Linked DNA regions of Arabidopsis thaliana. The protein of the gene in region 3 purifies or fractionates together with the protein of the main gene of each other region. This does not show direct contact. Each region holds a gene or a part of one and is shown on either strand. Other genes may lie near its edges.

Evidence for each region.
Region 1: the proteins of HBT (region 3) and APC7 purify together in Arabidopsis thaliana (affinity purification with mass spectrometry, with the first as the bait; one large-scale study listed by BioGRID). This does not show direct contact.
Region 2: the proteins of HBT (region 3) and AT1G06590 purify together in Arabidopsis thaliana (affinity purification with mass spectrometry, with the first as the bait; one large-scale study listed by BioGRID). This does not show direct contact.
Region 4: the proteins of HBT (region 3) and AT4G28230 purify together in Arabidopsis thaliana (affinity purification with mass spectrometry, with the first as the bait; one large-scale study listed by BioGRID). This does not show direct contact.

The regions. Positions count from the first base shown.
Region 1 is NC_003071.7:16,312,133-16,319,218, reverse strand, and holds APC7 (tetratricopeptide repeat (TPR)-containing protein), read left to right. Parts: upstream 1-1,828; 5' UTR 1,829-1,985; coding exon 1,986-2,054; intron 2,055-2,164; coding exon 2,165-2,233; intron 2,234-2,324; coding exon 2,325-2,375; intron 2,376-2,652; coding exon 2,653-2,787; intron 2,788-2,882; coding exon 2,883-2,945; intron 2,946-3,386; coding exon 3,387-3,496; intron 3,497-3,620; coding exon 3,621-3,705; intron 3,706-3,840; coding exon 3,841-3,900; intron 3,901-4,299; coding exon 4,300-4,345; intron 4,346-4,514; coding exon 4,515-4,588; intron 4,589-4,685; coding exon 4,686-4,736; intron 4,737-4,813; coding exon 4,814-5,014; intron 5,015-5,090; coding exon 5,091-5,135; intron 5,136-5,217; coding exon 5,218-5,311; intron 5,312-5,439; coding exon 5,440-5,585; intron 5,586-5,886; coding exon 5,887-6,116; coding exon of another isoform or gene 6,117-6,132; exon of another isoform or gene 6,133-6,210; coding exon 6,211-6,271; intron 6,272-6,361; coding exon 6,362-6,448; 3' UTR 6,449-6,562; downstream 6,563-7,086. Other genes in the region: AT2G39100 (RING/U-box superfamily protein), read right to left, coding at 350-419, 611-867, 1,007-1,061, 1,169-1,306, 1,387-1,757; EMB2799 (NAD(P)-binding Rossmann-fold superfamily protein), read left to right, coding at 6,744-6,957. UniProt on the Arabidopsis thaliana protein: Component of the anaphase promoting complex/cyclosome (APC/C), a cell cycle-regulated E3 ubiquitin-protein ligase complex that controls progression through mitosis and the G1 phase of the cell cycle.
Region 2 is NC_003070.9:2,021,710-2,026,599, reverse strand, and holds the start of AT1G06590 (anaphase-promoting complex subunit), read left to right. Parts: upstream 1-1,850; 5' UTR 1,851-2,094; coding exon 2,095-2,265; intron 2,266-2,577; coding exon 2,578-2,737; intron 2,738-2,822; coding exon 2,823-2,944; intron 2,945-3,315; coding exon 3,316-3,550; intron 3,551-3,969; coding exon 3,970-4,147; intron 4,148-4,237; coding exon 4,238-4,322; intron 4,323-4,420; coding exon 4,421-4,506; intron 4,507-4,693; coding exon 4,694-4,823; intron 4,824-4,890. Other genes in the region: AT1G06620 (2-oxoglutarate (2OG) and Fe(II)-dependent oxygenase superfamily protein), read right to left, coding at 1-166, 459-982. UniProt on the Arabidopsis thaliana protein: Component of the anaphase promoting complex/cyclosome (APC/C), a cell cycle-regulated E3 ubiquitin-protein ligase complex that controls progression through mitosis and the G1 phase of the cell cycle.
Region 3 is NC_003071.7:8,631,421-8,639,081, reverse strand, and holds HBT (CDC27 family protein), read left to right. Parts: upstream 1-1,781; 5' UTR 1,782-2,181; coding exon 2,182-2,286; intron 2,287-2,935; coding exon 2,936-3,008; intron 3,009-3,127; coding exon 3,128-3,237; intron 3,238-3,373; coding exon 3,374-3,420; intron 3,421-3,508; coding exon 3,509-3,606; intron 3,607-3,684; coding exon 3,685-3,971; intron 3,972-4,277; coding exon 4,278-4,433; intron 4,434-4,585; coding exon 4,586-4,799; intron 4,800-4,923; coding exon 4,924-5,132; intron 5,133-5,223; coding exon 5,224-5,289; intron 5,290-5,416; coding exon 5,417-5,536; intron 5,537-5,641; coding exon 5,642-5,718; intron 5,719-5,800; coding exon 5,801-5,920; intron 5,921-6,021; coding exon 6,022-6,241; coding exon of another isoform or gene 6,242-6,292; exon of another isoform or gene 6,293-6,330; coding exon 6,331-6,612; intron 6,613-6,707; coding exon 6,708-6,758; 3' UTR 6,759-7,123; downstream 7,124-7,661. Other genes in the region: AT2G20010 (Gls protein (DUF810)), read left to right, coding at 1-86, 186-1,105. UniProt on the Arabidopsis thaliana protein: Component of the anaphase promoting complex/cyclosome (APC/C), a cell cycle-regulated E3 ubiquitin-protein ligase complex that controls progression through mitosis and the G1 phase of the cell cycle.
Region 4 is NC_003075.7:13,995,268-13,999,240, reverse strand, and holds AT4G28230 (uncharacterized protein), read left to right. Parts: upstream 1-1,933; 5' UTR 1,934-2,042; coding exon 2,043-3,251; 3' UTR 3,252-3,462; downstream 3,463-3,973. Other genes in the region: AT4G28240 (Wound-responsive family protein), read left to right, coding at 1,002-1,262; NDB1 (NAD(P)H dehydrogenase B1), read right to left, coding at 3,590-3,677, 3,752-3,871, 3,956-3,973.

The DNA.
Region 1 (7,086 bases), 7.7 Mb from region 3:
AGAGAGACTAAGTGTCAGCTATTTGAGAATCCACCTATAGCTATCTCAAAACTAACTCCACACCTAAACTTGCATCATCTCAACATCTTCCTCCTACCTACTCTTTAACTCTTGGTTTCTCTTACTTGGTCCAGTCTTTCCACTATTGAACTTCCAAGACACCAACAGTCGCGTTGTAAGTCTGTCTATTTACTTCATTTGACGAGAGCATAGTGCTCGGTTATCTGCAAGCGAATACAACATAATGACTTCAGAAAAAAAACCATCGAAGCAAAACAGGTTCCTACTTAGTGAAACCAAACCCACATAATACATATCCTAATTTCTTTACCTGTTTTTTTTACTGCTATTACTCCACCTCATTGTATTCAACCACTGCATCATAAGTCTCCATCGTGAGTATACTCTCCGCAAAACATCTGAAAAATGTTTTCTTTCTCATCAGAAATAGTATATGACCAAAAAACCTAAACCAAACAGATATCAGCTCTATCATCTGTTCAGACTTACAAGTCACTAGGTTTAGGTTGCCTATGTGTTTTCTGTACTACTATACTAAACCTGTAACTACTTGAAACTCTGAAAAAACCCTAGCGTATAAAAATCTTACCTTAGTTCATGCCAAAATATATCCACCTTATCAGACAAGAATTTTCGAAGAGAGGAGACTTCATCTTCCACCAACATCCCGGTCTGCCCGGTTTGTCGATTATTCTCTCTCTCAAGCCTTTTGATGAAAAGAGCTGACGCAAAATGAACAATAACTGAGGGATCAGGATCTCCAAGGACTGCCTGAAGCTCTCTTCTAATCCATGGCTCAATTCTTTCAGTTATCTTTGCTTTGGTGTAATCATTCACCGCCAAACTCTACAATAATCCAAGATGACACAACGAAGCAGGTATATATAAGGCTTCCAATGTGAACATATATCCAATAATGTAAGAGTGTAAACCCCAATACTACAAACATCAAACAGAGAAGAACACATTGTATAATGAAACTTACTAGTTCCAAGCGCCTTGAATGTAATCGAACAGCTCGTAATTGCTTAGTGTATATGCTGTATTTAGAGCCAACACTAGTTAGAAACAACGGCGAACTAATCTAACACTTCGAAAAAGGAGATTGCAAATGAAGCTATAGAGTTAGAATCAATAGTAAACCAACCTAGCTCGCCACTGAAGCTTTCGCTGGAAGATAACAGAATCAGGAACTGAACCTGGTCGTCCAAATGATCTCCGCCATGGCAATGGCCTTGATCTTGAGCTAGAGTTTTCCAAAACATCCCTCGACCTTTGAATTATCCTAATGAAATAATAACCAAGTGAATATAATAAAGAAGTGATTTTTAACTTCATAGAGAGGATCTTAGAGAGAGAGATAACCTCCGGCGATCGGAAGGATTATTCCGATGATAAGTTAAAGTCTCACGATCACGAAGAATTGGTAATTGCTCCTTATGGTATTTTCTAGAAGCAAAATCACTAACGATAAACCAGGAATCAAAACGAGTGTTACAAAGAGGACAATTCCTCTTGAAGCTGCTCCACTTCCGAATACAAGCAAGGCAGTATCCGTGCTTGCACACCGTGATCACGGCGGCGGATCTTCGCTCGGTTAGATTTTCGAGGCATATCGGACACGATTTCCCCTGTAAAGCAGGAAATATTGCTCTCCCTGCAAATTTCGCGATACTTTCCGGCGATCGAAGATGTCTCGAAGACGAAGGCGCCGTGGAGGACGGTAATGGAGGCATGACCGGAGATAGAGATTGTTCGGTGAAGTCGGGCTCTTGGAAAAGTCGGGTTTTAATGAACCGAGATGGATTTCAGATAGATAACCGGTTAATGTCGGTTTGGGTTGACTCGGTTCGAGATTTCTTGTTTCAAAATGAAGAGCGAGCGTGAAGGATCTTTTACTTCATCGCTGCTCCGAAGAAAAAACTTCACCATTGCCACTAACGACGAACTCTCTTGTCTCTGAAATGGAGGTTCCAAAGGAGCAGATCGCGACTTTAATAGAGCATGGGCTTTACGATTCTGCTGAAATGCTCGTAACTTCTCTAGCTTTTAGCTCATTTTGATTGTCTATCTCTTTTTTTCTAAATCCCTAGTTTTCATCAAGAGCTAATGAAATTCTCTCTATATATGCAACTAAATCCAGGGCTGCTTTCTCGTTTCTTCTCCTACTGTTAGTGCCGAAACTAGTCCTCAGCTCAAGGCGGAGAATTTGGTTAAGCTTCTTTCTCCGTCGATATTTTCTATTTTAGTAGCTGCTGAGTCCGTTAGATTGAAGTTAGATTCTTTCTGTGTTTTTTAATCAGATTCTACTGGGTGATGCTTTATTTCATCAGAGAGAACACCGGAGAGCTATTGTAAGTTCTCAAAAGTTTCATTCTTTATGTTTCTCTTTTGCTGTGAAGGAAATGTTACTCAGTTCTCGATAGTTTAGTTCTGCCTCAAATTTGAACTCTATAAATCATTCTCGGAACTTGAATTTGACTGGATTATGATAAAATTGTAAAGATTCTGATTATATGAATTTATGGAGTGAGCAGAGATAAGTTTTATATTTGTATTGCTTATTCTTTTCCTGTGGATTACTTTGAAGTCATCTCGAAATTCTGAATATGTATTCCTTCTTTTTGTCAGCATACGTACAAGCAAGCGTTGCATCATTACACAAGGATTCCGAAGCAAAGCTCCGGTATTTCGAGGAGTTCATTATCTTTATCTACCAGATCATCTGTGAATGCCTCCAGCATTTCTGCTATTAATGAGAACGAGGTAAATAACTGTGTTGCAGTTTCCAGAAAGTGATGTGGTTTGGTTTAATTTCATTGGAGTTCATGTGCATCTTCTTTTTCTAACTTTCCTTTTAGGTGAGATTCAAGATTGCTTCATCTCACTTTGCTCTTAATGAAACAAAAGCTGCGATTGCTGAGGTATGAGTGTCATCTGTTTGTCTGGTTTTCAAGATTTATTTAGTCTTCTGGATTTGTTGGTCTAGAAACTTTGGTATATAGAAAATAAAATATGTGTGTATGAGACGGTAAAAGAGCTGTCTAGGGATTTCTCTATTTCTAAGATTATAGATTGGTTTTGTATAGGATGACTTTTATGTCTTGCTATTGTATTTTATAACCAGAGTTAAGTAACTGTAATTTCAGTGAAACATTCTTGGGCCGTAACTAATGCATTGTTATAGTATTCCTGAATGTGAGTTGAATTTTGTTGCGTTGACCTGCTCCCATCAATGCAAATCCATATTACAAAACAAGTAAACTAATTGGATTCCTTCCAACACTGCATGTAGGTATTAGGGATGATAAAGCCATGGTCTGCTTAGCTATAATCTATTTTTGCACTTGTTATTTCTTTGCCAGATGGAATCTGTCAAGACCAGGAGCTTAGAGATGAATATACTGATGGCAAAGCTTCATCGAAATTCTGGATACAACCGTGGTGCTATTGCTTTTTATAAAGAGTGTTTAAGGTCTGTTTTTCGTTTTCTTTCCCAACATTTCCTAGCATAGAAACACTGTTATAATATCTCACTTTTTACGTTAAATACCAATTCAACACATAGTAAACATATATATAATCTTTAATCTCTGCAGGCAGTGTCCTTATGTACTTGAAGCCGTCATAGGTTTAGCTGAACTGGGAGTTAGTGCAAAGGATATCATATCATCGTTTACTCAGGTGTCCCTTTCTACGAGATTTCTTTCACCACTTCTTCAAATGTGTTTTGCACCTCTTTCTCTCTATTTTGCAATTACCTTTTCTGTGTGAAATCCATACAACTTTGTAATTTGTTGTGTCATTTGTTCATTTCAGACTTCAAATAGAAGTGCAAAGGTTTCACTCGATCAGATAGATCCTACCCGCTGGTTGCAAGTAAGCTTACTCTTTAACAGGATTTACAACGTTGAAAATTGTTTGAAAGTACACTCATTAATCATGCCGCCAAGCTGATTATTGTACGTGAGTTAGAATCTTATTTTATCAACTATTTTCCCCCGAATACGACTTCATATATAATGATTCTAAGAATTCTGTCTTCAAGCTGTTCATGTGTGGAAAGTGAATAAATCGTCTTAATAGTATTATTCCCTTTAACAAAGTAGTGCTTTGATGTTCTTGTGTTAGTAGAAGCTCGACTATTTAACCAGGAAACTAATACTCCACATAACTTTTCTTGGATGGATGTTTCATTGGTTTCATGTTGTAGCATACCTGGCAATAAAATCTATTTTCTTCTTTGTCTTTTTCGGTAATTTTTCTTTGTTTTCACAGCGTTATGTAGAGGCCCAGTGTTGTGTTGCTTCGCATGCTTACAAAGGTAGCTCTCTTTTCTTTTTGGGATGCCTATGCCTACAATGGATGAAATAAGGCATTTAGTTCTTTTTTTTTAACCTTGTAGATTTCATTTCTTGCATTTTATTTGTGGGAAATTCTGCAATCTGATGCTTGCTTTACTGGATATGGTGTAATATTTTTTTGTTACTCAGGGGCGCTGGAACTCTTTGCTGAACTCTTACAACGATTTCCAAATAATGTACACTTGTTGACTGAGACAGCAAAGGTTAGGGATGACATCGACTACGATGCAAACAGAATTTCACCTGAATTTTTCATTTTATCATGACTGACGCTGATTGACATTTATTTCATTTGTATAGGTTGAAGCCATTATTGGGAAAAATGATGAGGCCATAATGAGATTTGAGAAGGTAGTCACCACATGGATATTTTTTTCTCAATTCTCAACTTCTTTAATTCATGCATAATCATCTAAAAGCTTTTATAGGTTCGGTCAATTGATCCTTACACACTAACCAGTATGGATGAGTATGCGATGCTGCTTCAGATTAAGTGTGATTATTCCAGGCTAAACAAGCTCGTCCACGATTTATTAAGCGTTGATCATACCAGAGCAGAAGTATTTGTTGCTTTGTCTGTACTATGGGAAAGGAAAGATGCAAGGACGGCATTATCTTATGCTGAGAAGGTTAGCTTTTTTCTGACACTGAATTTTTGTGCCAAAATCTTTGTGTGATAGCTCATGACATACACTATGCAATCAGAGTATCAGGGTAGACGAGAGGCACATACCCGGCTACATAATGAAGGTAAGCTAGTTCAACGAGGAGTTTATTTATTTTTAGTAAGTTTGCATATATATATATATCCACTAATTTGTTAAGACGTCAGGGAAATCTACTTTTACAAGCAAAACGACCAGAAGCTGCAGCGATCGCCTTCAGGGCTGCCCAGAATTTGAGGTCCGATCTTCGTTCATATCAAGGTCTGGTTCACGAGGGAAAAAGATCTGATATACACTTCCACTGTTGTACTGTTTTGGTGGTATAAACCTTTAACAATCATGAAAAGGTTGGAGTGTGTAATTAACTTGCGCTATTGAGGTCATTTCAGGCTTAGTCCATTCTTATCTTGCATTTGGTAAAACCAAAGAAGCATTGTATACCGCCAGGGAAGCAATGAATGCAATGCCTCAATCCGCGAAGGCTCTGAAATTAGTTGGTGATGTTCATGCGTTTACATCAAGTGGCAGGGAAAAGGTACAAACATTCAGCTTTGTTATGCTTCTATGGTGTCAATTTTCATCATATCAATATTCTATCCAGATTTTTTACATCTTAATCAGAAGCGGTGAAAGCTTTAGGGAGTTAGTTGCATATAATACTAAATATTGAAACTGGGAAAGTTCCTTAAACTTAACTGTTCAAATCTCAATTTTGATAAGCATAGTGTATACCAAATCTGAGAAACTATTCAGAGCTTGTGAGTATCTTCTTGTGATCTTTACATTATGTATAAAAATTTATGGTGTAACAGTAGAATGATATGGTTTTATAACAGGCAAAAAAGTTTTACGAGTCAGGTCTGAGGCTGGAACCTGGGTACCTTGGAGCTGTGTTAGCCCTAGCTGAGCTTCATCTAATGGAAGGGAGGAATGGAGATGCTGTATCACTACTTGAACGATATCTCAAAGATTATGCAGATGATTCTCTCCACGTCAAGCTAGCTCAAGTGTTTGCTGCAACGAATATGCTACAAGATTCTTTATCACACTTTCAAGCTGCATTAAGGTTTATGAAATTCTAAGCCAGTAGTGCTTATAGTTCTTGTTGCTCCTATGCGAAACAATAACGATATAACAGAGTGTAAATAATGTAAACGCAGAATAAATCCACAGAATGAGGCAGCCAAAAAGGGACTAGATCGCTTGGAGAAACAAATGAAGGTTGGGAAGAATCAAATCGAACCATTTTATTATGAAGCTCGAACAAGGATGATGTTTAGTGTATTCACAAAATTGGGGTGTTTGTTGCAGGGAATAGACCCAGATGCAACAGATGAGAATGACGAGAACGATGTTGAAGATGTTGATGGAGACACCGAAGAAGCTGAGCTCATGTGAAGAGTAGAGAGACAGAAGAGTGTGTAAACTGTAAAACTATCGAATCCTTAACATTAATATTAATAGCAAATGTCATTCCTTTTGTTTCCTATAAACAAACTTAGAATATGAAAAGAAACGAAAAAAAAGACCAATATTCTACAACATTGGACGTCGTGACGTGTAAATACGCCATTGGTTAAAACACACCAAGAGAACCCATTACCAAAGTCTCACGGAGAATCCCATCTCTTTCCCCACGCCAACTCAATCTTTTTCGTCGTCAAAAGCCAAAGCTTTTTGCTTTTTTGTCTTAATGGGTTTCATCTCTTGCATCTCATTTCCGACGATCAATTCAAGAATTCTATCGACTCACCACTTTTCCAAGCACTCGACTTCAGCGTCTTCTTCATATTCACTTAAGTTTGCTTTGAGACGTCAGGAGGATAAACCCAAAGTCTCGTTTTTTCTTCCATTAACGTCTTCGTTAATGGCGACCCCTATTCAAGCCTCTTCTTCCTCCACCATTGGTATCTTCACTCTCTACTTCTTCAATTCGACTGCTTTAAGGATTAGTGAACTTTGACTTTTAAGATAATCCTATGTTAATCTTTTATGCTTAGTGAGGTAATTAGAGCTTTCGAATGATTTACAATTTC
Region 2 (4,890 bases), on a different chromosome or scaffold from region 3:
GTCGGGTTGGGGACATGGCGGGTAATAATGGCCGAGCAACAGCAAGGAGTTAGTGCAATCCATGTCCTTGAGGTGATTAGTGTTTAACCCTAGAGCTTCCGAGAGAAGCTCGAAGAGTAATTTACCCAATTTCATCACTTCCTTTGAGTACTCAATCATCATCTCCCTGAAAAAATGTCCACCAAAATCTTTAAGACACACTAATGAATAATGGGGGCGTAAAAATCTTCAACGAAATCCTAGCGCTTATAACTATTTGAATAAGTTATTATTGGATTTATGTATTTCAATTGTTATAAAAATTTGTTAAAAAAGAAAACGTATTATTGGATTAATATTCGTCTAACGAGTAGTGAAACACTATTCGACCATATATAATTTCTTCGGACCGAGGAACACAACATGTTACAAAAGCAAAAATAGTCAAACTCGTAATTTAACAAATTTGGAAATCTTACCCACAAGTGGCGGGTAAGTCCTCCGGTCTCGGGGGATCTGGTGCTGTATAACAACCAAGTGTATCTCTCCAATTCGCCGCCGGTGAGCTAAACAGATCGAAGTTGCTGCTGTATACCATCTTACTAGCTGGATCTCGAGAGTAAAACCCTTTCTTCACTTCAGTGTCTTGCTCGTGAAACTCACGAATCCCATCTATCATCTTCTCCAACACATCCATCGGGATCCCGTGGTTGATCACCTGGAAAAATCCCCATTTCTCTGCCGCGTCTCCGATCTTCTCCACCAAGCTCCGCCGCGTGATCGAGTCCGTGCCACCTCCTTTGAGATCGATTGTGGGGATGGAGAAATCAGAGGAGGAAGGTGGTTTTGGACTTGTTAAAGTAGCCGGAGGTGCACGAAATATCGAAGGAATCTCTGTGATTCCGGCGTCGATAAGGCCTTTCACGCCGGTTTTAGTCTCGTCGAAAGCTTTGAGTAGAGTTGAACGATCAAGTGCAGCAACTTGGGGAAGTGATGACTCCATTGCTTTTAGCTGAAAATGCAATTGCCGTTGGTTTGAAGTTGGATCTTAATACTACAAGTTGTCAAAAGTTTCACGAGTCAACGACGAAGATAGATGAGAAGAAGTACATGTCTTAGTTAAATTATTCACGTTTCCCACGTGGGGAAAAACCGGGACAAGAAAAAATAATGATAACAAAAAATAGGAAAATGGAGATGCGGGGTATCGATCCCCGTACCTCTCGCATGCTAAGCGAGCGCTCTACCATCTGAGCTACATCCCCGATGACGAAAATGTACAATTGGTCAAAATAAATTAATATACGAACTATACTAGTATCATATTCAACAGCTCATTTTGTCACGTTTATATATTGTATATACAATAATTTTTGTTATTATTTTATTTTTGGCCATCAGCAAGACCTTTTTAAAAAATCGCAACAATAATATTATTCAAGTATTCGGATAGTGGCTCTCGCGTCGAAATGTTTTGGAAGCCTGCGTCACTATCATGGTTAATGGCAAGTTGGCAACAACTACATGAGGTAATCCTTTGTCAAAAATAAATAAATTGAAATCTCTGATAAAAAGATAAAATATAGATTCTGTTCTAATACGATATTTAGTCGAAACTAATAAAAGAGTATATACGAACTTTTTAATGTCTTTGTAATTTGTAAATTCCGTTGTAGTTTTGTAAATTTAAGAAAGTTTTGTTGCCCCAAAAAAAAACGAAATTAAAAAGGAAGTTTTATTCGTTTGATTATTAGTTTATTTAGCTTCTTTTATTTCACCTTTGGGCCTTACACATCAAATCAAACTTAAAAGTTAAAAGGAAAACTTTGGGCCTTGGCCTCTGGGTTATATACTCTTAAGGCTTAACCCGACGGCGGTCAACTACCGGCCTGAAATAACCGGTTTTTATTTTTCCTTTGTTTCTCTTTTCAAAGTGCTCACTTTCCCGGTGACTCTTTAGTCAAAATTTCAAATTAATTCCTCTAAGGTGCCCTAATCCCGGCTGCTCGTCGGGGGAAAATAACCCGGCAGGGATTGAGCAACAGCGTGAGTCCCAAAGTGAGAGACAGTGTGAATCCCAAAGTGAGAGAGTGAGTGTTTTAGCGACAGAGAGATATGGCCGGATTAACGAGAACGGCCGGTGCTTTTGCGGTAACTCCACACAAGATCTCCGTTTGCATTCTCCTGCAGATATACGCTCCTTCCGCTCAGATGTCTCTTCCTTTTCCTTTCTCTTCCGTTGCTCAGCACAACCGCCTCGGCCTCTACTTGCTCTCTCTTACTAAGGTTTCACTCTTCGATTTCTCTCGAATTGCAATATCTTGTAGTTTTTTGAGGTTTAATTCAGCAATGTCTTTTGATTCTTCTGAGTTTCCTGGCCCGTCTCTCATACCCGAAGTTGTATCGAGTTTCTTTATTGCATTTCTTAGAGCTTCTTTGCTAATTTCTGAGATTGATTTCAGCGATGTCTGTTGTAACGATTTCACGGCTCAAAACTCTTGTAACTTATGTTGATTTCATGAGTGAATAATGAATTTGCTGGTTTCGTGTGCTAACAAACTGTTCTTTTCCCTGACGAGATTGATATTCATGCTGCAGTCTTGCGATGATATATTTGAGCCGAAGCTGGAAAAGCTCATCAACCAGTTGAGGGAAGTTGGTGAAGAGATGGACGCGTGGCTAACTGACCATTTAACTAATAGATTTTCCTCTTTGGCTTCACCAGATGATCTATTAAATTTCTTTAATGACATGCGAGGTTAGCTACTTGCTTGCTTAAGGTCTGTTTTTTCTTCTTTTCCATCATGTTTGACTCAAATTAGTTATCATTTCTTTGTATGTAGGAATACTTGGGAGCCTTGATTCAGGAGTCGTGCAAGATGATCAGATTATTTTGGATCCCAACAGCAACTTGGGAATGTTTGTTCGTCGTTGCATTTTGGCATTCAACCTTTTATCGTTCGAGGTATTGAGCTTTTTACGTTTGTGTTATTCTTGTTTTATTTTGAGACTGAATAATATTAATATTATTCAACATGACGTGTAGTTTGAGGTTTTGCTTGAAGGACGCGGATTTGTTAGCTTTTTCGTCAGCCACTTAATTGTGTCTAAACATCTATGTGAAGTTTGTTTGTTTCTTGACCCACTACAATGGAGTACTTGTCTAGGCTAGACTTAAATGTAGACGCATGTATAGGTACATTAAAATATGATATCTAATGGCAGAACTCTGGCTGGTCTGGTTGAAGTGTAATATCTAGCTGTAGTGTTCTTGATTGCTGCAGAAACACATAAGTGAATGTTTGAAAGAACCGTCCATTTCATTGATATGTGCAGGGAGTTTGTCATCTTTTTTCAAGTATTGAAGATTACTGCAAAGAAGCCCATTCAAGCTTTGCTCAGTTTGGTGCACCTAATAATAATCTGGAGTCATTAATACAATATGATCAGATGGATATGGAGAATTATGCAATGGATAAACCAACTGAAGAAATAGAGTTTCAGAAAACTGCTAGTGGAATTGTCCCTTTTCACCTTCATACACCAGATTCACTTATGAAAGCGACAGAAGGTATCCCTTATGGTATTCACCCAATTCAGAGAAAACCTAGAGTTTTTCAGAGTCTCAGGTGCTAGAAAACTATGAGGAAATAGAGTTTTATATTCATGATCAGGCTGCAATTTAGCTGCCACTTTTCTCATATATGTTTGGTAATGTATTTTTGCTGATGATTAGCATCAGTCATAGGATCAACGTTTTATCAAAGTCTTTCGATGTGTTTGTATGAAGCTTTTTCAGACTTTTCTTTTTTAACAGTTGGGCTTCTGAAGATATTTCCCTTTTTCCCTTTTGTAATGTAGAAACGATCTACTAAGAAATTAATTTTGTCGGTTTTTTATATTTTTGTTTCATTCTTATGCTTTGACACTCACTTGTCTTGTAAGGATCTCAATGTTATAATAATGCACAGAACACATGAAACATTGCAGGTTTGCTACATAATAGGAAGGAAACATCAAGGACCAGCAAGAAAGATACAGAAGCTACTCCAGTTGCTCGTGCCTCAACAAGTACACTTGAGGAATCTCTGGTAGATGAGTCATTATTCCTTCGGACAAATTTGCAGATACAAGGCTTTTTAATGGAACAGGCCGATGCAATTGAAATGTAAAGTCTCTTTTTCCTTAGTATTTATATATTTCTGTCATAAGTATTGCTAGTTTTTAAACTTTCCATCCCCTTGTAATTTGATGTCAGCCATGGAAGTTCAAGTTCATTCTCTTCAAGTTCCATCGAAAGTTTCCTTGATCAGCTTCAGAAATTAGCCCCTGAACTGCATCGTGTAATGTCTTGCAATTTTGTATTTTATTTTCAGTTAAATCAGAAGTTAATCATTCTTTCAGTGCTTTGATTCTTACATCACGACATGCAACAATGCAGGTTCACTTTTTGCGTTACTTGAATAAACTTCACAGTGATGACTACTTTGCTGCTTTGGATAATCTCCTCCGTTACTTTGATTACAGGTAATCTGTACTTTTTGCTAATTTTCTCTGTTTCCTAAAAATTTATGTTAAGAATAATATTACTGCCGAAATCGTTTATTGTTTGCATGTGACTCCTGTAAATATCCAGTTGTGTTTGCCTGTTAGATATTTGGCACTAGGAACGTTGTTTCAAACATGAGCTGATCCATGATCCATTGCCTTAAAGTGCAGGGACTGAGGGATTTGACCTTGTTCCTCCTTCAACTGGCTGCAGCATGTATGGAAGGTACGAGATTGGTTTGCTATGTCTGGGAATGATGCATTTCCGATTTGGGCATCCTAATCTGGCTCTAGAGGTGAGAATTCATTCTCCCGAGAGCTTCTATAGCTAAAAACTTGTTCTTGACGTTTAGAATCGTCTCT
Region 3 (7,661 bases):
TTTGCATCCAGTTTTACTTCCTGAGCTAACGTCAGGACTAGACAAGTGTATGCAGCATTATGTATCAAAGGCGAAATCATCCTGCGGTAAGCAGTTGATTGTTTAGTTTTTGGAATAAAAAAGCTCACGCTTTGTTCATTTCACTTATGGAGTTTCTGGTTTTGTTTTTATATGGTTTCTATTAGGCTCGCGGAATACGTTTCTACCCGTTTTGCCTGCTTTAACAAGATGCACGGTCGGGTCCAGACTACATGGTGTATTCAAGAAAAAGGAGAAGCCAATGGTAGCTTCTCACAGGAGAAAATCACAGCTGGGGACGGGTAATGACTCGGCGGAAATACTTCAGTTCTGTTGCAGGATCAACACTCTGCAGTATATCAGGACAGAGATCGAATCATCTGGGAGAAAAACATTGAATCGTCTCCCGGAATCCGAAGTTGCAGCTTTGGATGCTAAAGGTAAAATATTTGAACAGTCGATTAGTTATTGCTCGAAAGGAATACAGCAATTGTCTGAAGCAACTGCTTACAAGATCGTCTTCCACGATCTGAGCAATGTTCTCTGGGATGGTCTGTACCTCGGGGAAGTTCCTTCCTCAAGGATTGAGCCGTTTCTTCAAGAGCTCGAACGGTGCCTTGAGATTATCTCCTCATCGGTTCATGACAGAGTCCGAACCAGAGTCATTTCGGACATCATGAGAGCTTCTTTCGACGGGTTCTTATTGGTCCTCCTTGCAGGTGGACCATCGCGTGGCTTCACAATTCAAGACTCTGCTGCCGTAGAAGAGGATTTCAAGTTTCTATGCGATCTTTTCTGGTCAAACGGAGACGGATTGCCTTTGGATTTGATCGAGAAGGTTTCGACGACTGTCAAGAGTATACTTCCGCTGCTGCGCACGGATACAGATTCTTTGATTGAACGGTTTAAAGCAGTGTGTCTGGAGAATCATGGTTCTGACAGAGGGAAGCTTCCGTTACCGCCGACTTCTGGTCCGTGGAGTCCGACAGAACCAAACACACTTTTAAGAGTATTGTGTTACCGTTACGATGAACCTGCGACTAAGTTTCTGAAAAAGACCTATAACTTGCCGAGGAAGCTAACCTGAGAGTGACCTACTTACTACATTGGTACAAAACCCGGTTTAGTTTGAAGTGTGGAATATATTTTGGTTAAAGCGGCTAGCGATTGGTATTTGGCAAATTAAATTACTTGTACAAGAAAGTAGAAACGTTTTAGTGAAATATTCTTCTTTTGTACTAATCAAAAGCTTGTGGGCTTTGTTATATGTTGTCAACTGTTATAAATTTGTATATTTAATACCTTTGTTTTTCATCTTTCTTTTTCAAATTTATCAGATTTCTGATTGATAATTCAAGATTGCAACGATGGTTCATGAAATGGTCCTTTAAAAACTCATAATGTTTATGTGATGGATAACATCAGATATATGATGATATGGTTGAAACTTGAAGTATTCTAACTTGAAGTCATGATTCATGATCCGTTTAACAACGTTTGAAATGAGTATCAGAAAATGATTATCGTAGATATGAAACTTTTCCTGCAGACACGTTCTAGTATTTTGCTAAAATAATAGTTTGTTGCTTATTCAACCAAACAAAAACACTTGTTCAAGTAGCGCAATATCTTCGATAGTTCGATTCATTATTATGATACCCTTCTTCGACTTCTTTGATTTCCTCGAGTTCTTCTCCATACGTCACATGACTCACATCGTCAGCGATTTCATGGCAATGTTACATGTGGTGGACGACATGGAGTATCCGCGACCGCGAGATGATCTTGAAGAGGTGTTTGCTTTATGAATGACGATGAATCGGCTCTGTTTTCCTGTTTCCAACGGTTGTAATCACACCATCATCGTTGTCTTCATCTATACTAATATTCAAATGGTCAATTATAAAGCCCAATAAGCTAACTAAGCCCAAAAATGAAAACACACGGACTCAGCCCATACAAATTTTAACACTTAAGGCTAATGGGTCTGTCACGTGCGGAATAGACTGAAAACAGAGCATCGCACGTGCCGCATCAAAATTTGAAATCACGACGACTTCAAAAAAATCCCAAATGGTAAGAAAAAAATAAAAAGTTGCAGAAAAAACAGAAAACCCTCTTTTCTCTCTCTTCTCTCTCTCTCGAGGAAGAAAGGCAACAACTATGGAAGCTATGCTTGTGGACTGTGTAAACAACAGTCTTCGTCATTTTGTCTACAAAAATGCTATTTTCATGTGCGAGCGTCTCTGCGCTGAGTTTCCTTCTGAGGTAATCACCCTCTTCTTTCACTCTCTCTCTCTGATTTTACCTCTCTAATTCAAATTCTGTAAATCGAAGCTCTTGGAATGGTAAATTTGATATTTTTGGGTTTGTAATTCCTCTGGGTATCTATGAATTCGTCGAAAGTGCGTCTCTTTTTGGATTTGGAATTCGATAGCTTCACTGTGTTCTTCGAGATTGATTTTGGTTTCTTACCTTTTAGCCCTTTGTTTTCAAGATCCGTGTGTTCAATTAGGAGATGAATTCGTGTTCTTTTCTCTCTCTTGTTGAATTTGTTTTCTCTAGTAGCTGTGCTCAATGCTCATTACTGATTTGGTCTTTGGAAAATTTGCATTTTGAGGGTTAATGACTTTTGTCCATATATGTGATCTCAAGTTTAAGTATTTATTATCCTTGGAACTTAGCTATGAGTCAACTGTTAGAGGAATGTCTCTGGGATTATCTCAAGCTTTGTTAAAATTTGGGTTAATACAGCTTCAATAGTAGTTGAGAAAGTATTCATTCATTCAGCCTTTGGTCTGGAATATTTTCAACATTCGTAGTGGTTGTCCAGTTTCTAGCTTCAGTTAGTAGAAATCATGTCAATAAATGATTGGCCTTTTTGTTTGATCACTTTCTGAATTTTCCTCTTATATAGGTTAATTTGCAGCTATTAGCCACCAGCTACCTGCAGAATAATCAAGCTTACAGTGCATATCATCTGCTAAAGGGTGCGTGGCATTGTTTCTTGACTTGTTGCTTGTTAGCCTTTTAGTCAGAATTTTGCACCTTCTTTTGTTAGGTCGTTTTGATTATCTTTGTATATATATTTTTTTTTTGTTATGTAAAGGAACACAAATGGCTCAGTCCCGATACTTGTTCGCATTATCATGCTTCCAGATGGACCTTCTCAATGAAGCTGAATCTGCACTCTGCCCTGTTAATGAACCTGGTGCGGAGGTATTTAATGTTCTCTGGTATTTTGCCTTTATTCGCTTACTGAATGTCATTTTACAAAAACAGTGTGTCAGTTTCTGGACCTTATTTATTGATTTAGTTCAGTGAAGATAACAACATGCTTCTGATTATTGTGCAGATCCCAAATGGTGCAGCAGGCCATTACCTTCTTGGACTTATTTACAAGTACGTTTTTTGTTCTGTCTATGCATTTTTTCTTGATTCTGAATGGCTTAGATGAGATGATTCCTCATATATAACAGTGACCTTTTAGGTATACTGATAGAAGGAAGAATGCTGCTCAACAATTTAAACAGTCCTTGACAATAGACCCTCTACTTTGGGCTGCATATGAGGAATTATGTATATTAGGTGAACATAATCCGTTTTCTGCATACTTCACAGATATGTTATGGTTCTCTTACACTTTTCTGTCTGCTCAACTTTCAGGTGCTGCTGAGGAAGCAACTGCAGTTTTTGGTGAAACAGCTGCTCTCTCCATTCAAAAGCAGTATATGCAACAACTGTCAACTTCCCTCGGCTTAAACACTTACAACGAGGAACGTAATTCAACTTCTACTAAAAACACGAGTTCTGAAGATTATAGTCCAAGGCAGTCTAAACACACACAAAGCCATGGCCTTAAAGATATCTCCGGAAATTTCCATTCTCATGGAGTTAATGGAGGTGTTTCGAACATGTCATTCTATAATACGCCTTCGCCAGTGGCTGCACAGGTAATGTCACACAATTGTCGTACTGCTTTTTTATGTAATACAACTATATCTCCATCTGTTGATCACACATTCTGTAGTACTTAGGAGATTTGTGCATCATGGGTGTTGATTTCACAGCGTTTGTATCTGTTTTTTCTATATCTGTTATGCCAAAAGAATGGGTTGTCTATTCTTTTGACTATTAAAAATGGGGTCTTCATTATGTTTTAGTGTCTTTGGTTTGGCTTGTTAATTTTATCAACCTTTTTAGTTATCTGAATAATAACAGCTGTAAGTAAATGCTTTTTTGTATTTTTGAAATTGTAGCTATCCGGTATAGCTCCACCACCACTTTTCCGGAATTTTCAGCCAGCTGTTGCAAACCCAAACTCCCTTATTACTGACAGTTCTCCAAAGTCCACTGTTAACTCTACTCTTCAAGCACCTAGAAGAAAGTTTGTAGATGAAGGAAAGTTACGTAAGGTAGGATTCACATAATCACATATCTCTACTTGACATCATCAAATCATAATTTTGAATTATTGGTCTTTCTCTGTAATAGTCTATTTCGTACTCGGGATGAAATTTTCTATACCAACTTTCTTACCGTGAGTGCATGTCTCTTATGTTTGCAGATTTCTGGCAGACTATTTTCTGATTCTGGTCCACGACGGAGTTCAAGACTGTCTGCTGATTCAGGGGCAAACATTAATTCAAGTGTTGCAACAGTAAGCGGAAATGTGAACAACGCTTCCAAGTATTTGGGAGGTTCTAAATTGAGTTCTTTGGCACTTCGTTCTGTAACACTTCGGAAGGGACACTCCTGGGCAAATGAAAACATGGATGAAGGTTGTGACATTCCATGCACTATACCACTATATTGTTTGAAATCTGCCCTTGTGTGACTATTGTTATCATGCCTTCTATTTTTGGTGTCTGCATATTTGTAATACCGTCATTCTGATGGGTTTAGGGGTCCGTGGGGAACCTTTTGATGATTCAAGGCCTAATACTGCCTCAACGACTGGTTCTATGGCTTCCAATGATCAAGAAGACGAAACAATGTCGATTGGTGGCATAGCAATGAGTTCTCAAACAATCACAATTGGTGTTTCGGAAATTTTAAACCTCCTTAGGACACTCGGAGAAGGGTGTAGACTTTCATACATGTACAGGTGTCAGGTAGGCATATTATTGTTCTCGTGAATTATGCAAGTGAGGTGAACCTATATAGGCTTATCTCATTGTCTCCTTCTGCTTCTGGGTCGTTCAGGAGGCACTGGATACGTATATGAAACTTCCACATAAGCATTATAATACAGGATGGGTTCTTTCCCAGGTAACTAGTGACTCTTTCTCTTTTAGGCTGCCATATATGGATATAGCCTGAATCAGTTTTACTCTAGTGGCCTGTGATAGTTATTGTTGAAAGGTTTATATACACATACTATGGCTATTAAATGTAGGTCGGGAAAGCATACTTTGAACTAATTGACTATTTAGAGGCTGAAAAGGCATTCCGTCTTGCCCGTCTGGCTTCTCCTTATTGCTTAGAAGGAATGGATATATACTCTACGGTCCTCTATGTAAGTGTATTATCCTGGTTTCTAAACATGCAATCTCGGATGAGTGCGGAAAGAAATCACATTTATGTAAATTTTTCATCAGCAAGATATGATATTTATTTGCAGCATTTGAAGGAAGACATGAAGCTGAGTTACTTGGCTCAGGAACTAATATCAACCGATCGCTTAGCTCCTCAATCTTGGTATTTTTTGTCGAAGTTGTTTTTCTGATTAACGTTTTCATTTATTGTTGGTAATAAGAGAAATAAGCAATCAATTATGTAGGTGTGCTATGGGAAATTGCTATAGCTTGCAAAAGGACCATGAGACCGCACTGAAGAATTTCCTACGAGCTGTTCAACTGAATCCAAGATTTGCATATGCACATACCTTATGTGGCCACGAGTAAGAGAGCCTCTATCCATTTGACTTTGTCTTGCACAATGTGCTTAAAATTATCTGGTTATTGGTCTAATTGACACTTTCTATCTTTACTGTCTCTGTAGATACACAACTCTTGAGGATTTTGAGAACGGAATGAAAAGTTACCAAAACGCACTTCGTGTAGATACAAGACACTACAACGCATGGTACGGGCTTGGAATGATATATCTACGCCAAGAGAAGTTAGAGTTCTCAGAGCATCACTTCAGAATGGCTTTCCTAATAAACCCGAGTTCCTCTGTTATAATGTCTTATTTAGGGACATCTTTGCATGCCTTGAAGGTTATCTTATTACTTTCATCTTATCAGGTCTACAAGAAAAACAATCTTTGAAGAATGACTAAATGCTTCTTCTTGTTTTGTGTTAATAGAGAAGTGAGGAAGCACTAGAGATAATGGAGCAAGCCATAGTAGCAGATAGAAAAAACCCTCTTCCAATGTACCAGAAAGCTAACATACTTGTCTGCTTAGAAAGATTAGATGAAGCTCTAGAAGTTCTTGAGGAGCTCAAAGAGTATGCGCCTTCAGAGAGCAGCGTTTACGCTTTAATGGGCAGGATCTATAAGCGGCGAAACATGCACGATAAAGCCATGCTTCATTTCGGTCTAGCTTTAGATATGAAACCGCCTGCAACTGACGTTGCTGCAATAAAGGTTCGAGTCTTTAAAACAGAGTCGTCCAATGATGGTTTTTAAATCTGAAAATTCAAGGATTCATAGCTTAAACTGGTTATTATTGTCTGAAACAGGCTGCAATGGAGAAATTGCATGTTCCAGATGAGATCGATGAGAGCCCGTGAAACCATAGCTACTCCAAGAACCTTGGGTATGAATTAATGTGAGACCGTTGCTGCTCCACGAACCATGGGTATGAATTATTTAGTGCAAAGCCTACCTCTTTTAGGGAACTAGTTGGGTTTGAATGTAGTTTTGTTACCAAACCGTAACACAGCCACAAGAGCCCACATGACTTGAGTATGTATCATGAGTTGATCTGTATGTTGTCCGTAACACTACCTAATCGCAATATATGATTTTTCCACATCTACATATACATTTTACCACTTAAACCTTGTTCATCAAAAGATAATTTATTTCGTTAGTTTTTAAACCTTGATTCAAACTTATATCTTTATTTTCCAAGAAATATCTAACAATATTGATCGACTGAGATATAATCAAAAGATACGGCTTCGACCACATACTGTACATGGTTTAAATTAACTTGTACACAAAAAAGTCTTTTTATGATTCATCTTTGTTTTCAAATTGAAGAATTCCCTAAGTAATATATTTTGTTTTTATTAAATGAAGCAGGGACACACAGACACAGTATAGTAAAGTAATCAGCGAATATTTTTACCATAAAAGTAAAAATTTAACAATTTAAAAAAAAAAAAAAAAAGTCAACAATTATTCTCCCAAAATGAAGCTGAGAACAAATCACGGATGTTGAATATATAATTCACGTGAATTATAATCTCATGATGATTATAGAAATTTTACGTAATTTACGAGATTTGCACTCAAAAATGAAGAAGAAGAAAAACGTAACTTGCGAGACTTTTGATACGTATAATTCTATAATTATATGATTTTTTTTTCTTCCGAACAATCATAACTCGACTTTCGGTGGGATTAACGAACGTCACTGATTCTGACTTTTGTGGTTATTTGCCTCAGTTTATATCGTTTGAAAAGTA
Region 4 (3,973 bases), on a different chromosome or scaffold from region 3:
ATAAATGTGATAGACATATGCTTAGATTAGTAGAAGAAGCAGACAGGGCTTATCTAGTATAAGTGGGATAAGCATAATATGTGAACGGCCCACATCCTCACAAAGCCAAGTCCAACTATCACAAGATTCACTCATTCCACTAATAAACGTTTTCAAATTAGAATGACAGAAGAATATGATAGTTAAAACTACTCATTAATATATTGGTGATAAAATAAAATAAAATAAAATAAAATTAAACTACTCACATATAATTGGTTGGATTAGTCATTAAAGATAGCACTTAGCAAATCAAAGTAAAAACAAATACTCACTACTAATAATAAATTAACCGGAAGCAAAGGGACAAGAAGTATTGATGGACAGTAATATCACGTGAAGGGGCACGTGATGACCCAATAATCGGTTAACACGTAACCAATCCCCTCGTGGGACTCTATCCTAGTCTCTAGGCACCACCCCACCCCTCACATAAAACCATCGTTCCATTTTGGTTTTAGGCCGACCTATCGGTTTTTCATTTTCGTATAAAACAAAACAAAACAAAACAAATTTACATTCAACAAAAAAAAAAAAAAAAAAAAACCAAATTACAAAAATAATTAAGAATGGGGCCCACATGAAGGGGTCGATAATTGAAGCAAGGGTGACTCATCTTGAGGATAGGACCCTCTAAGCTCGCCACTTGTTTCCTCATTACTCAGCACTTTCAATTTCCCCCGAGATATTTCACGATAACTTAACCATATCGTACCGTATCGCTTTCCTATACCTGGATCCCACTAATCCATTGTGCACGGTATCGCTTATTTTAGATCTTTTTGAATTTACCTATTTACCCTCACCCCAATATCCCTCTGGCTATAAGTACCAACCTCATCTCTTCATTTCCTTCCTACAAAAATCGAACTAATCTTCCTTTTTAACAAAAGCTTCTCAAATCTTTCAAAGGTTTCCAATTTACGAAGAAAGGATCTACAACATATAATCACTATTAAAGAATGAGTTATCTGAACAAAGTGTGGATGGCAGCATCGTTCGTAGCTGTTCAAGGAAACGCCGATCACGGCGTCAAGTTAAAAAGCGGTCTCACCTCTGCTCACCGTCTCCAACGAAGACTTTCCTCCGATCTCCGTCCTCTCGCCGCCGCAGATCTAACCGGCGACTCTCTCCCTTCGGAAGAAAGACGTCGTACCTCTTCTTCCACTCCCGATGAGTCTCTCCGACAAGTCATGTACCTCAACTGCTGGGCTCAAGGCTAAATTCAGATAATGATGGTCGTGGCTCGCTCATGAACTCCGCTGAATCAGAATTTTTTTCTGATGCAAACTGTATATAGTTTGGTTCATCTGTGGTGGTTGACTCGTGCTTATGAAATCGCTTGAGTCGGATTTTCTGGATGCAACTGTATAGTTTGGTTACATCTCTGTGAATATTAGAATGTTCTAAAAGATCAAAGCAAGCCTTGGATTATGAGAGAACTCTGTTCATTTTCTATATCTTAAAACATCGTTCGCTCACCAACTTTATTACAATCTGGAATCTTGATTGCGATTACCACTAATTTCAACTTTATCCACAGTAAAATACGATTCTAAATTAAACAATAGTACTAAAATATTCCAAAACCATCGTTATCCAAAGAGACAGACAAGTCAGTCACTCCATAATGCTTTTATTTATTTATCTATTGTGGTTGTCATTATTGAGGTAGGTCCTATAATTCATCTTACGAGCAAACTGAAATGTTATATTCGTCGGGCCAATTGTGCGAGGAACAAGAGGCCCACAACGAGATCAGCTCTTGGGCTATTTGGCCCATTTATGTAACTTGGCTTTGAATGAAATCGGAGCGTGGCTGCTTAATCCAACGGTCCAAATCTGACGACGCTCCTTAATGGAGTAATGAGTAACGTCTCCTTCATTTCCAACGGTCAAATAATCCTCAAGAAATACTCGCTTCTTCCTTCTTCCTCCTCAAGTGTCCAATTCTTTCTCCAAACCCTAAATTTCTCGTAGAAGAAGATCAAATCGCTCTGAATATGACATCAATTGAGGCAACAGAAACGCTTAACGCTCCTCCAAAGCTTCAGATCTGGAACAACGCTGCCTTCGACGATGGAGATTCTCAAATCACTTCCGCCATCGAAGCTTCTTCTTGGTCTCACCTCAACGAATCATTCGATTCCGATTGTAGCAAGGAGAATCAGTTTCCGATTTCGGTTTCCTCTTCGCTCCAATCCTCAGTCTCGATCACCGAAGCTCCGTCAGCAAAATCCAAGACCGTGAAGACCAAATCCGCCGCAGATCGGAGTAAAAAGCGAGATATCGATGCAGAGATCGAAGAAGTAGAGAAGGAGATCGGACGATTATCGACGAAATTGGAGTCGCTCCGATTAGAGAAGGCGGAGCAAACCGCAAGAAGCATTGCTATACGTGGAAGAATCGTTCCGGCGAAGTTCATGGAATCATCTCAGAAACAAGTGAAATTCGACGATTCGTGTTTTACAGGATCGAAATCAAGAGCCACTCGTAGAGGCGTTAGTCTTGGACCAGCGGAGATATTCAATTCCGCGAAGAAATCTGAAACTGTGACTCCTCTTCAATCAGCTCAGAATCGACGCAAGTCTTGTTTCTTTAAGCTTCCTGGAATCGAAGAAGGTCAAGTGACGACACGAGGTAAAGGAAGAACGAGTTTGAGTCTGAGTCCGAGATCTCGCAAAGCGAAAATGACGGCAGCTCAGAAGCAAGCAGCTACGACGGTGGGGTCAAAGAGAGCTGTGAAGAAAGAAGAAGGAGTTCTCTTAACAATCCAGCCTAAGAGGCTATTCAAAGAAGATGAAAAGAATGTTTCTTTAAGGAAACCATTGAAACCAGGAAGAGTTGTGGCTAGTAGGTACAGTCAAATGGGTAAAACGCAGACTGGAGAGAAAGATGTTAGGAAAAGGTCGTTGCCTGAGGATGAAGAGAAAGAGAATCATAAGAGGTCGGAGAAGAGAAGAGCTTCTGATGAAAGTAACAAGAGTGAAGGGAGAGTGAAGAAGAGATGGGAGATTCCAAGTGAAGTTGATCTGTATAGCAGTGGTGAGAACGGTGACGAGTCTCCTATAGTTAAGGAGCTACCTAAGATCAGAACGCTTCGTCGTGTGGGAGGGAGCCCTCGTGATTCAGGTGCTGCTAAGAGAGTTGCAGAATTACAAGCCAAGGATCGTAACTTCACTTTTTGCCAGCTTCTGAAGTTTGAAGAATGAATGATCCGCTTATCAATTTGAGTAAAATCCACAACTCTTGTTGTGGTTACTTGATTGTGAATTTGTTTGGTTTTGATTTTGTTTTTCGGCTCGCAGAGCAAGAATCTTTGTTGGAATGCTTAATGTCTTTTCTAAATACACATTAAGATTGTGAGTTTTTGTTATCTTTTGTAAATGTCAGCTTCATGAAGAAAGATTCTTTCAAAAGGTTTTTGCTTTGCCACTCACAAACAAGAAGTTTGGCCACAGCTTTGTGAAATTTACACCAAAAACAAACGAAAAAGAGAGAGACTGTATCTTGGTTTCCTCTTAAACACATTACAAAATGCAGTATTGAGTCAGATGCGGCTTGAATCCCTCCCGAATATGTACCTCCTTGTCCAGTCCGACACCACCAGAGCCCTCGTTCGCCAGCTAACTTGCTTGCTGCATCATTCATGTTTCATGTTTCAAATTCTGTGCATTTACTATAATGAATAAAAGAGTTTCTCAGCGTTTACCTGGCATAAACAGAATACCAGAGCCACTGGGCGCTTTTTCCAGCTGAAACCCAGTCTCCAGGTAGTTCAGCTGCTGCTTGGTCCCCTCCTAGTGGAGCAAATTGTCCAAAGTGCTTGTACCTGTAATCAAGCGAAGAGCTTTCATCTCTATATCTTGGAAGTTTATGAGGATGCAAGGTCCTGAGTTCATTAGATTAGGCATACTGGAAGGGGCGAAACTGA